Schizosaccharomyces pombe: one gene and its partner. The protein of the gene in region 1 interacts with the protein of each later gene in a pairwise test. Each region holds a gene or a part of one and is shown in the gene's direction. Other genes may lie near its edges. The genes, in order: mcm5 and dpb2.

Region 1 (7,600 bases):
CTTCACCAATCACCGATGGCTTCAAAAATTGATTGAGTAGCCCTTCGACATCTCTCATTGAACTTTTTTTCGGATTATGTTTTCCTTCCATTTGGTACTCCTAGAGTATTAGTGGAGCTAGAATGCTTAATCCTTCGAATAGACCTGCCTATAGAAAGTACATCTAAAACTCCAACATGAGTTTCAATTCACTTGAATTTGTATCTCTGACATAACTATTTAAATGAATATCTATCAGCAAAATGTCTTCCGCTAAATATAAAACAGATGAGAATTTTCATTCTACAGCATAGTAAAAGTCATATTTCTCTAATTAATGAAACAGCTGTCTTGTATAAACACTCCAGTTTAATTGAGCTTGCTTGAAAATTCCATGTCGAACTAATACTCTACATAACAAGTAAATACTTTAAAACTAAGAAAATCATTTCATAGCAGTAGACCTTTAGAAGCTACAATAACATGGAATGCCCTTAGTCTGTGAGCCGTAAATCTTCATTTAAACACGGCTCTCAATAATCGATCTGTACAGATTACTCACAACCAAGTGCAAAACATATTTATATAAAATTACAGTCATTAGGTTTTCTTCATCCTACTTCTAATATAACTGAATAGCTTTTTTCTTGAATACATAGTCTATACTAGAAAACTGTTTGCTTCTTGATATATTACAAACCTTAGCGTACTACTACTTCCATCTACTCTCCACTCCCCTTCACTTTTATTTAGCAAGAAGCAATTCTAATTCATTATAATGAAAGCAGTTCAACGTATTTTTCAAACTGGCCGCTTTTCTGTCGCCGCAGGACCCTCGGTTCGTTTTCAAGCTGGGTTTTTAGCTGCAAACAGACAAGTTCGTTTTTCTAGTAACCACGGGGTTTCCTTGGAAGAAATAAACACAAAGTATGTAAAAAAACGACGATAAGGGAATAGGTAATTGTTCGGCATGTTGCAATGCCTGAAAAGTAACTCCATTCAGCACTTTTATTATCAAATGCGGAAATAGGAATGCTGGGAACTGCAAAGAATAAAATGAACACGAAAGCAGTCTGTTTTATCATTGACTTTTGAGTACCCAATACTGAAAGTGGTTTGAATATTTTCATTTTAGCATCTCTAGAATGATAGTAAATGAGCGTTCATAGCTATTTATTTGTCTGCTATTTTTTGTTCTTTTCTCAGTTTTCACGTTTTTAGTTTTTACACAAGAAAAATTGACCATTTTTCCTTCTTTGGAAGCTTATTCTTACTTCTGCTCTGCTCTGCTTTTCCTTTATTTAAAATTTCTTGTTTTACTGTTTACTAACTACGTAGGTATAACGATTTCTTTTCAAATGTTCAGGATCAATTTGAGCTCCAAAGAGGCCTAAATAATTGTTTTGCCTACGATATCGTGCCTTCTTCTGATGTTATTGAACAAGCTTTACGTGCTGCTCGTCGTGTTAACGATTTCCCTACCGCCGTAAGGATTTTCGAAGGTATTAAAGTGAAACTACCAACCAAAGAACAGTACCAAGCGTATGTTAAGGAGCTTAAGCCTGTTTGCAATGAATTAGGTATTGTATTGAAGGAGGATCTTTTTAAGTAAGTCCGATTAAGTTTCTTGATCTGTCTCCTCTTCTTTTGAAATTTGTAGCTCTTTACCACAACTCTCCTTTTCTTGGTGCTTAACTATGATTTGCGTTTTTCAAAGGACTTTAAAAAAACTGATTTACTGATTTTGATTATCATCACTTTTTTTCTGTCCGCACGCAATGATGTTTCTTTAGGATTAAGAAATTATCAAATAAAAATGCCAATACCATTTCTCATACAAACAGAATTGCTATAGTAATCTTATCTCTTTTTCTTTTTTAAGTCTAGTATAGCAGTGAATCTGTAACGATATACATCTTCATTTTGTTCACGTAGAAAATAGCTTGCAGTTAATACATGTTTACTTAAAATGTTAAAAAAAAAATTGTAAGCAGACTATCTCCTTTTAACAAAAGATTTAAGGGTGTAGTTGAAGTTCGTTTCAGCAAGGGCAATATGTATTAGTCCTTTCACCAAACACCACAGAGGTTGTTCAATAATATATTTTACAGCATTACATTCGTTTCTTCACGCGTAAAATATTTATTGCAGTTACATGTAATTTAAGAACATATTTATATCATTTTTGCAACTCATTCTGTAAAGGTTTTGAAGAGCTTTTCTAATTTTTGTTTTATTTTTTCGAAGAGCAGCGAAATTTGCTTCATCCTTTATTTTATACCATATCATCTTTTTTATCTCGCTTTTTTATTTTTTTTTAACTCATTCCCCTTAGTCTTTTTCATCACAATAATGGCTGCAGCAACAGGTTGGGAACGGAGTGCTGTATATTATACCCCAGTTCTCCCAGGAGAGCAAGAATTAGATTCCAATGTTAGTCATGAGAAGAATTTCATACAGTTTATTGAAGAATTTGTGATTGACAATGACTTTATCTATCGTACTCAACTAAGAGACAATCTCGTGGTAAAACAATACATGTTGAACATAGATCTTAGGCACCTGATCAGTTATAACGAAGATCTAGCTCATTTGCTTCTGAGTCAGCCGACAGATATTCTACCTCTGTTTGAGTCTGCTGTCACTACAGTTGCTAAACGCCTACTTTATAGAAGTCAAGAAAATGCTTCTACGAATATCCCCACTTGCCAGGTAACTCTACGTTACGATGCTAACATCCTTCCAATCCGTAACCTGACAGCTTCTCATATCTCAAAACTGGTTAGAGTGCCTGGTATCATCATCGGTGCTTCAACACTTTCCTGCCGTGCAACTGCTTTGCACTTAGTATGCAGAAATTGTAGGGCTACCAGGATTTTACAGATTTCTGGTGGATTTTCAGGTGTTCAGCTTCCTAGAGTTTGTGAAGCTCCTGTTCTCGATGGTGAAAAAAAAGACTGCCCGATGGATCCTTTCATTATTGATCATTCAAAATCGACTTTTATCGATCAGCAGGTGCTTAAACTACAGGAAGCTCCTGATATGGTTCCTGTCGGTGAGTTGCCTCGTCATATATTATTGAATGCTGATCGCTATTTAACTAACCAAATTACTCCGGGAACCCGCTGCGTTATTACTGGCATTTTTTCTATTTTTCAAAATAAGTCTGTTAAAGCTAGTGGTGCCGTGGCCATTCGGAACCCTTATATCAGAGTCGTGGGTATTCAAATGGATTCAAATGATGGCTCTAAATCTACTCCTTTATTTAGTGAAGAGGAAGAAGAGGAGTTCCTTGAAATTTCTCGTACTCCGAATTTGTACGATATTATATCCAACAGCATATCTCCCGCTATTTATGGTAATGTAGACATCAAGAAAGCTATTGCATGCCTACTTTTTTCAGGTTCTAAAAAAATTCTCCCCGATGGTATGCGCCTTCGTGGTGACATTAATGTTTTACTTCTTGGTGATCCTGGTACTGCGAAATCTCAATTTTTGAAATTCGTTGAGCGACTGGCCCCCATCGCTGTTTATACTTCCGGTAAAGGTTCAAGTGCTGCTGGTTTGACTGCTTCTATTCAAAGAGACTCAGTTACCAGAGAATTTTACCTTGAAGGTGGCGCAATGGTTCTTGCTGATGGTGGCATTGTCTGTATTGATGAATTTGATAAAATGAGGGATGAAGATCGTGTTGCTATTCACGAAGCAATGGAGCAACAAACTATTTCAATAGCTAAAGCCGGTATCACTACTATATTGAATTCTAGGACATCCGTTTTAGCTGCTGCTAATCCAATTTTTGGCCGATACGATGATATGAAGACACCAGGTGAAAACATTGATTTTCAATCTACGATTCTTTCAAGATTCGACATGATATTTATTGTTAAGGATGAACATGATGAAACAAAGGATCGAAATATTGCCCGTCACGTTATTAATCTTCATACCAATTTACAAGAATCTAGTGAGACTTTAGCAATTGGAGAAATTCCTTTTGATAAGTTTCGGCGGTACATAAACTATTGTAGACAGTAAGTATACCAAATTTAATATTAGTTACTAATGGATTTAGCAAATGTGCACCTAATCTTGATGCAGAGGCAGCTGAAAAGCTATCTAGTCAATTTGTCGCAATTCGAAAACGTGTTCATCAGTCAGAGCAGGACAGTAACTCGCGTTCTACCATTCCAATCACTGTTCGTCAATTAGAGGCAATCATACGAATTACTGAATCCCTTGCAAAAATGTCATTATCACCTATTGCTTCTGAAGCTCACGCTACTGAAGCGATTCGACTGTTTTTGACCAGTACACTTGCTGCTGCTACACAAAGTTCGCCTGAAGTTACTGAGGAAGTAAAAAAAATTGAAGCCAGCTTAAGAAAAAGGTTACCTATAGGGTTTCAGGCGAGTTACCGTATGCTTATACGAGAATACGTAAATGGGGTATGTTTATTGATTAAATCTAAGTCTAACATAATTTTAGCATGGATATTCACAACACGCGTTAGAAATGGCTTTACAAATTCTTTCGTCGAAGGAAACAATTCAACTCAGAAATGGCGGACAAACGGTGTATCGATCAGGAGTATGAAATTTAGCGAGCGTACTATTTATTAGATGATATAATTTACAAATATAATACATGATCGTGATAAGAAATATCAGTCTCGAGAAACTGCAATACTGCCACGTGCGTTGTCTATGGAAAATCCGTGACGACGTTGATAATCTTCTTCTTCTTTCAGATTATTTTTTTCAGAAGGAAGAAGGATGGCTCGATCAACAGCCCTGGGTAAACCTCTATGTCTACCGCGCAGTTCAAGTGCTATAATAACTAGTTTACTTATAGTAGTAAATCTTGCTGAAAGTGAACAATTTGAGGAGCTTAATCCAGTACTAAGTCCCACCGTACCGTAAGCAGAGACTACTTCAAAAAGGACAGTAAAAATACTGAAATCGGTATCTAGAGGATTGGAGATTTTACCTCCTTCACAAATGCATATGATGAATAGCCCTAGAAAAATATACCATAAATCGTAACTTAATTGTTCAGTAAGGTGATCTTTTAAGAAAGATTTCCCCTCATCATCTTCAGTTCTGTAAACACCCAAAGATCGCTCCTCATAAACATTGGTATTTCTCATGTTGATAGCAACTGGATAAACAGAAATATACATCATAACCATGTAACTGACCAGTACTGCTGGGTGAAGTTCACTAATTGATACACTCGTGAATCCTGCGGTTCTTGTACAAACTGATTGAAATATTGCATTTACAACCCTAATACCTTTAGGAAGGCTAGCGACTGCTTTACTTCCAGTATCTAAGACCATGAACAATACCAGATCAATGACATTAAGCAGCAGCAAAACAAAAAACAAGACCCAGGTTGCTCCAGATGGAAACAATAAAGTGAAACATCGTCGAGGATGATCAAGGAGAAATGCCATAGCTTCTTTCTTCTCAAAACTAAAAGGGTATAGCTTATACGTTGTCCAAATGAATGTTCTAAAAAAACAAGGGAATCCCGTGTTACCTGCGATAATGAATAAAGATGAAATCAACAAAAGAAAAATGTTTCGATTCATTGGCACAAAAGACGATGGTATTAAAGAAAACCCCAAATCATTAAATGAAGAAGCAGACGAGAATAACGCCCACCACCCACGACGTAAGTCATAAGAATCTATTACCTCTCGCGATCCCACTGCCGTATAAGCAAAAACAATGAAGGTCACAAAGGCAGCAATATTAAAAATGATAAAATAAAGGGTAACCATGGAGCAGACGCATTTCAAAGCTCTATATTCAATTCCACCCAGCTCGTCCCGCTGTTCTTTAGACAAAGCAACGAAAGCAGAATTACGATCGACAGTAGGATTATACGACAAATAGGGAAGTGACATAGTAGTGTGTCTTGATGAAATAGAAGGCTCACGTTTTTTAGCAAAGGCAGAAGAAAGGACTCGTTCAAGAGTCAAGTTTCGTCGGTTAGAAGTGAATGACTTTGTCCAACGTATTGGACGATGAAGTCCTCGCGAAAATCTGGAACGTAAAGATTTTTTATAAAAACGACTTTTTTTTCTAAGTTTAAGATTACGTTCACGCTCTATGGTGGGCTTATTAAGTCCGGTGAAAGCAATATGCATGTCAACTGTCGATGGTTCAGTGTCTTTAGATAGGGAGGAAGAAGACAGAGACGACCTTACTATTCCGTCTATTGTATTGGCAGGCCTTAAACCACCTTCTGGGAAAAGATTGTCGTCCCCAGTGAGAGTAAATGAATCCCTCGATACAACCAAATTAGTATCAGAATAACTATAAGCCATAGGGAGAGATTCCTGAACTAAGGCGCCTTCAGATAAAGTTTCACGGGTGTCGTCAGCCTCTAAAGGATTAACGGAGGAAATAAAAGAGCTTTGTCTACGAAGTCGGGGATGAAGGTCATCCATTTCATACATTTGCATCGAGGCTGAATGCGAACTACCAAAATCGTAATTTTTATTTTCAATGGAAGGTTCATAGTCATGAAAAGTCATGTTGTGACTTTCCAAATCCATGTCTAGCGTATCAGACTTTTTTGGGAGATACTTTCCAAAATACTCGTCTTTAGATATATCTGCCTTGGGAGAAGGGGGGTTGTCAGGAAAGTACGGATTGTTCGTACTGTCATGCGTGTCAAATCTCGAGAAGTTTTTTAGAGACGTTGGACTCCTTAGTGAATGTAGGTATGGTAACATTACACGAATTTTTCTACCACGAACACCCTGTTCTTCGTCATCCTCGCTTTTTTTCATTAAGCTTTTACGGAGCTTTCTCTGAAATTTTCGAGTACGATTTTGACGAACAACGTCTTTAAATTTTCGTCGAAACCAATACAGCCGGATGAAGGAAATACTTCCGTGCATCCATATAGGAACCGTAATAGCAGTAAATCCATACAGGATAAACTGCTGCCAGATAGATAAAGAATTTAAGTCAACACTGTTAAGGCCTGTTTGGGTAGTTGCGCTGCTAGCTAAGAATAAAGCATCGATATACTTGATTTTCGTGGTGGTCCCTCCGGTAAAAAGTAGGATAGAGGCAATGATAGTTAAGGATATAATGTAAATATAATGAATTGCCAAGAATCCAAAAGTTGGTATCACCCACTTGAACCATCTTTGAATGTAATTTAGGACCATTTATTTTAGTCAATACTTCCAGCCAAACCCACCAACAACAGAACAAGAAACAGAGAAATTGGTTTGAAGTTAACGGAAATCCTTAACTATGGACAAGATAAGAAGCAATTAGTTTTGAAATCTACGGGTAAAAGCGATACTGATGAGGAAACCACTAAATTTCTAAAAGGGAATTATGACAAATGACAAACGACATTTTTACCCAATCTTTGACGATTCCTTTCAACAATACTTGAGGATTCCTCTCTTATAATACAACGTAAAATCGCGTCTTCTTTCCCGTAGAAGGTAGTTTCTAAGCGGTTCAAAGTTTCAGCCTATACTTCGACCATGTTGTACGCTTTGGGCAGTGAAGTGAGATTGTTGACGATCTTTAACATAAATCGTTGTTGTTCCGTAAAAAATGTTAACAAGATTTAGAGTGTTCAA
Region 2 (4,956 bases), on another chromosome or scaffold:
AAACCAAGGGTAAAACGAACTACCGGAATACCTCGATCTTTTTTGAAAAACGTTGAAAGGCCTGCTGAAGGCGACGCTGCTAATATTATGATAAATGCTGAAGGAGATTATGTTGTAGTACAACCAGACGTAGCGTCTTGGGAAACATATCAATCTCGTAAAGCAGCTTTAACTGCGAATGACGTGTATAAAATGCAGCCTCCGAACATTTCTTTGGCATGTACATTATGTAAGAAATTAGCAAGAAATGCTTGCAGAACACCTTGTTGTGATAAACTTTTTTGTGAAGAGTGTATTCAAACGGCTCTTTTAGATTCGGATTTTGAATGTCCAAATTGCCATCGAAAAGATGTTTTGTTGGATACTTTAAACCCCGATTACCAAAAACAGAGGGAAATTGAGGCAGTCGTCAAATCTGTACTCGGTTCTAATAGCAAAAACAGTGATAAGGTTGGTACTTCTGACGATAACAATACACCAATGTCTGAAAAGCGCAAGCGTGAAGATGACGATGCAAATGGACCTAACAAATTTGCGGCAAGATCTTCTGCTGTGTTTTCCAAAGCCACCGCTGAACCAGCTTTTAAGTCAGCTATGGCCATCCCAGATATGCCATCAATGCCTCATGTCCAAGGGTTTCCGGCTCCTTTTCCCCCTTTTATGATGCCAGGCTTACCTCAAATGCCGCCTATGATGATGAATGCAATTGCTGGCCAAGTATATCATAATAATCGAAATCCACCTCGTACAAACTCTCGTCCTTCAAATGCGTCTGTTCCCCCACCATCCTCGCTACATAAGAATCCCCCTACTAAAACAAATTAGTTATTACTTATTTCTGATTTTCTTGTAAACTTGCGTTTACTGTTTACGTTGTTGAAAGTCCTTTTTTCAGCTATAATAGGGACAGTTACACATATTCATTCAAAAATTTTTATACTAATACATTCAATTAATACAATCTAATTTATGGAGCGTTTTTTTAATATGAGAGTAAATTCATATCTATTGACTTTTGAATTACTTCGAAGTGGATTTAAAAGTATTTAGTATCATATTTACATCAAAAAATGGATTGCTAACGGATTTGATGCTCAGCAAATTACTGCTGACGCTGATCAGGTGCCTTAACAAAAATTGTAATCTAAGAAATTAAAAATACTCAGAAAGTCATATTATATAAATCAGTAGTAATGTATTTTTTTTTATTTATTTGCAATATTGCAATAAATTTTTCAAAAAGCTTGTAGTAATAATAATAGAGAACAAACAATTCTTAGACTAAAGTTTCCGAGTAGAAGGATCAAGGATTCAGTACTCCTTAATTTTACAAAAGAATATTTATAAAAATAAGCTAATTTTCTAAATCAATTGACATTACAATTCGCCGATCAAATGTTTTATCAGAGAATATTATAAAATCAAAATATTTAGCTAAGCGAAATTTAAATGTATTTTCAATGCTAACAACACGTATTCAGATAATCTATTTATAGGCTTCTCGAAATGTTCCTATTATATAAAACAGCTTAGTTTACCTAAGTTTTACTTTATTTATTAACACATAATTTCAGCTTTCGTAAAGGAATTAATTATACTCAACATTTTGTTAGACATACTATAGTACGCTATGATACAGTACGTAGAGAATCACTATATATCATGTGTCCTAATTATTCATCGTACCACGTATGATACGATATTGAAATTGATTTTAATGATAGTCTATTAAGACCTATATCATTTAAATACTATTAATAGAGTTACTGATAAACTTCGTTCGTCAGTTCAGTTATAAGCTATGTTAGTGATAGTAACGCTATAAGTTGGATAGTATAATATCTATACTTAGTTGCTACTTATATTACCTTTATATCGCAATTTAATAGATCGCAAGAAAACCTCACCGCAATTCAGCGTATCGTTAATATGGATATTAAACTGCGTAGCTGACACAGTTTATGATTTTATAGTAGTGCGTTAAAATATTTTAATGAACCAGATTGAGAAGTTAGCATTTAGCATTTTGATATTAGACAAACAGTGAATAAAGGGTACACCATAGCTATCATCTACAGTAGTCCTTTGAAACTTTTTCACTTGAATCCAAAAAATTATTGATTACATCCTATGTTGATTAGAAAACCATATACATTGATCTGTCCTTGATACAGTGAGTGGGCACTAAACGATTCTATAAAATCAAAAAGCGAAGGGTTTGCATTAATATATTTCTTAAAATAGAATGAACAATTCCATTACGGATTCGGTAGAAAAAAAACCTGAACAGGTTAGTTTTGAAGTTCAACCCAATGCCCTTCGTCCGGTTGCTTTCCACGTATTTACCAGGAAGTACGATCTCAATATTAATCGTGACTCACTGCAGGAATTAGCATCTTTCGTATCTAAAAAATGCGGCTCACAATGGCGTTCCCAATGTGAGCCCTTACTAGACGAAATTGCAAAAACTTGGAAACGAGTTCATGAAACTCAACCTATAGTTACTCGACCTCTTTTGATCCCTGTCTTGGCAAATTTAAATGTTCCGCATGAAGTTCGCGTATCTTCCTTAGCAAGAGTTCAAACGCTTGAGACAACCGGTTCATTTTTAAATTCGAGTAATTCGGAAATCCGTGAAACTATAAAAAATGAGAAATACTTTAGAGTCCTTGATGCTTTTAAAATGCCTAAATTTAAGTACGATTCATCAAGAAAGGTTTTCGTTTTATCAAAACAGTCTCCTACTTTAATGGCATCTGCAAGTGCCTGCACAGATATGCTTAACCGCAGATTCAATGTTGTATATAGCCGTATTTTACGCAATGAATCTTTTCAAACACCTTCTTTCAGTGGCTCTTTCTCTCAAACAGGTACATATCAATTAACTCCTATTCGCAATTTATTAGGTCGAGCTGGAAACACATTTTTGTTGTTCGGACTCTTGACTATAGCTCCCGATGGTACCTTATGGCTGGAAGATCTTGACAGTCAAGTTCAACTAGACGTATCACAGGCAGAACAAGGGTTCGGTCTCTTTTGCCCTGGCTGCTTGGTACTTGTTAATGGTCAATTTCTAAGTTCTGGGCTATTTTTAGTTTTTGAGCTTGGTCATCCTCCCATTGAACGCCGTGATGCTTCCTTGAAGGCCCTTAATAATTTAGATATTTTGGGGTTGAATATGGATGCAAAGCAACTTGCTCTTCTCCGTCACGCGGAACAGGCATATCAGTCACAAGCTTTTGTTTGTATCAGCGAGGTTCATCTTGACAACCATCAAACTTTCTATGCATTAGAAAAAATATTCCAAAAATATGAATCCTCTGAAGCTGTGCCGTTTTGTATAATATTATGTGGAAGTTTTATGTCTTCCGCTTTCCATAATTCAGGAAGCTCAATTCAATATAAAGAAGGATTTAATAAGCTTGCAGCTTCTCTTGAGAAGTTTCCAAAAATTTGCGAAAAGACAAAATTCATATTTGTCCCCGGTCCAAACGACCCTTGGACGACAAATGGGATATCCTTAATGCCTAAGCATTCAATACCCCTTCATTTCGTAAATCGGATCCAACGCGTTTGTAAGCATACCATTTTCGCTTCAAACCCTTGCCGCATCATTTTCTTTTCTCAGGAAGTACTAATTTATAGAGACGATATATCAGGAAGATTTCAAAGGAATTCATTAAAGTTTGGGAAGACTCCCCAAGGTACCTCCAATATTAATTCTATACCCCTTGCAGAACAACAAGTGCATCAGCAAAGAAAAGTAAGCAAGTTTCTTATAATTTTTTTATGCTAATTTGTTTAGTTGGTTAAAACAGTTTTAGATCAGTCTCACCTTTCACCGTTTCCATCGAGAACACGACCAATATTGTGGGATTTTGATTATGCTTTATCAGTTTTCCCGCTTCCTAGCTGTGTACGTTATAAATCTTTTTTTTCTTTGCTAATATTTTTAGATGGGTCTAATAGATTCTGAGTCGTCGGCGTTTGATGTTCATTATGGAGGTTGCCCAACTTTTAATCCCGGTGCTCTTTTACTTGGCGTTCACTATAATTGGCAAGAAGTATTTCCAGTAAAAAAAGAAATAATTACACACAAGGAGAGAATTTAGGACTCAAATCTTTTCCTCATGTAACTGTATAATAATTGCTTAAAAAAGGCATTTCATTCATTAACATGTTAACGATTTTTAAGTTTGTTACATTTTACTGAGCCCCGAATAATAGAACGTTTATGTTAATTAAAAGATAAATCCAAGTAAGATTTCTCGTAAATTAGTAAACATTAATCAAATTAAACTATAAAATTAAGATTAAGGGTTAGTAGGAATAATTAAAAAAATATAGAAAACTCCCTACTAGAAAACAACATTTGTAAAATTCAATATCACTGCTGCGTACAACAACTTCCATGGAGGCAATCAATAGGTGCTATTAGCCTTTAAAAGAGTTGACCGAGTACACAGCATCAAAATACAGAACAACAGTTAATTTTTCCAAAAGGAGCACATAAACGATAAGGCATTAACATAATTCAAAAGGGCATAATAACAAAAGGTTAGCAAACGCTTTACAAGGCCTGACTTCATAATCAAAGAGCCGTATAAGTTGTATCTCACTTCTTATAACAACGGTTGGACTGCATAATGAAAATATACCAGAGATAGCACAACAAAACAAGCAAAGAAAAATGAAATCCATAATCTTTTATGGAGCAAGTTTCTAAGCATTTTCGTAGTAACATCACCACTTTCCTGACCAGACCTTCTACTTGTTCGAAAGGGCTCCTGAGAAGTGGAGGATAATTTTTTGTTAAGTAACGGTGACTTTGAGGTTGTAGGATTGATTTGCAAAGGCGATGTTGCCAAACCTCTAGCAGTGGTAGGACTATTACATCTAGTGTCACTACTTCCAACCATGCTGGAAAATTTTGCAGACCGTTTGGGAATCAACTTG

What was found.
Region 2: the proteins of mcm5 (region 1) and dpb2 interact in a two-hybrid assay, tested with the Schizosaccharomyces pombe proteins (one study listed by BioGRID).

Annotation. Positions count from the first base shown.
Region 1 is NC_003424.3:2,813,611-2,821,210, forward strand, and holds mcm5 (MCM complex subunit Mcm5), read left to right. Parts: upstream 1-2,050; 5' UTR 2,051-2,331; coding exon 2,332-4,013; intron 4,014-4,054; coding exon 4,055-4,427; exon of another isoform or gene 4,428-4,467; coding exon 4,468-4,575; 3' UTR 4,576-4,645; downstream 4,646-7,600. Other genes in the region: cox6 (cytochrome c oxidase subunit VI), read left to right, coding at 758-906, 1,318-1,591; plasma membrane potassium ion transmembrane transporter Trk1, read right to left, coding at 4,646-7,171.
Region 2 is NC_003423.3:3,656,042-3,660,997, reverse strand, and holds dpb2 (DNA polymerase epsilon catalytic subunit B Dpb2), read left to right. Parts: upstream 1-2,067; 5' UTR 2,068-2,245; coding exon 2,246-3,763; intron 3,764-3,805; coding exon 3,806-3,916; intron 3,917-3,956; coding exon 3,957-4,112; 3' UTR 4,113-4,250; downstream 4,251-4,956. Other genes in the region: mpe1 (RBBP6 family ubiquitin-protein ligase E3), read left to right, coding at 1-825; protein vac7, read right to left, coding at 4,623-4,956. UniProt on the Schizosaccharomyces pombe protein: As accessory component of the DNA polymerase epsilon (DNA polymerase II) participates in chromosomal DNA replication.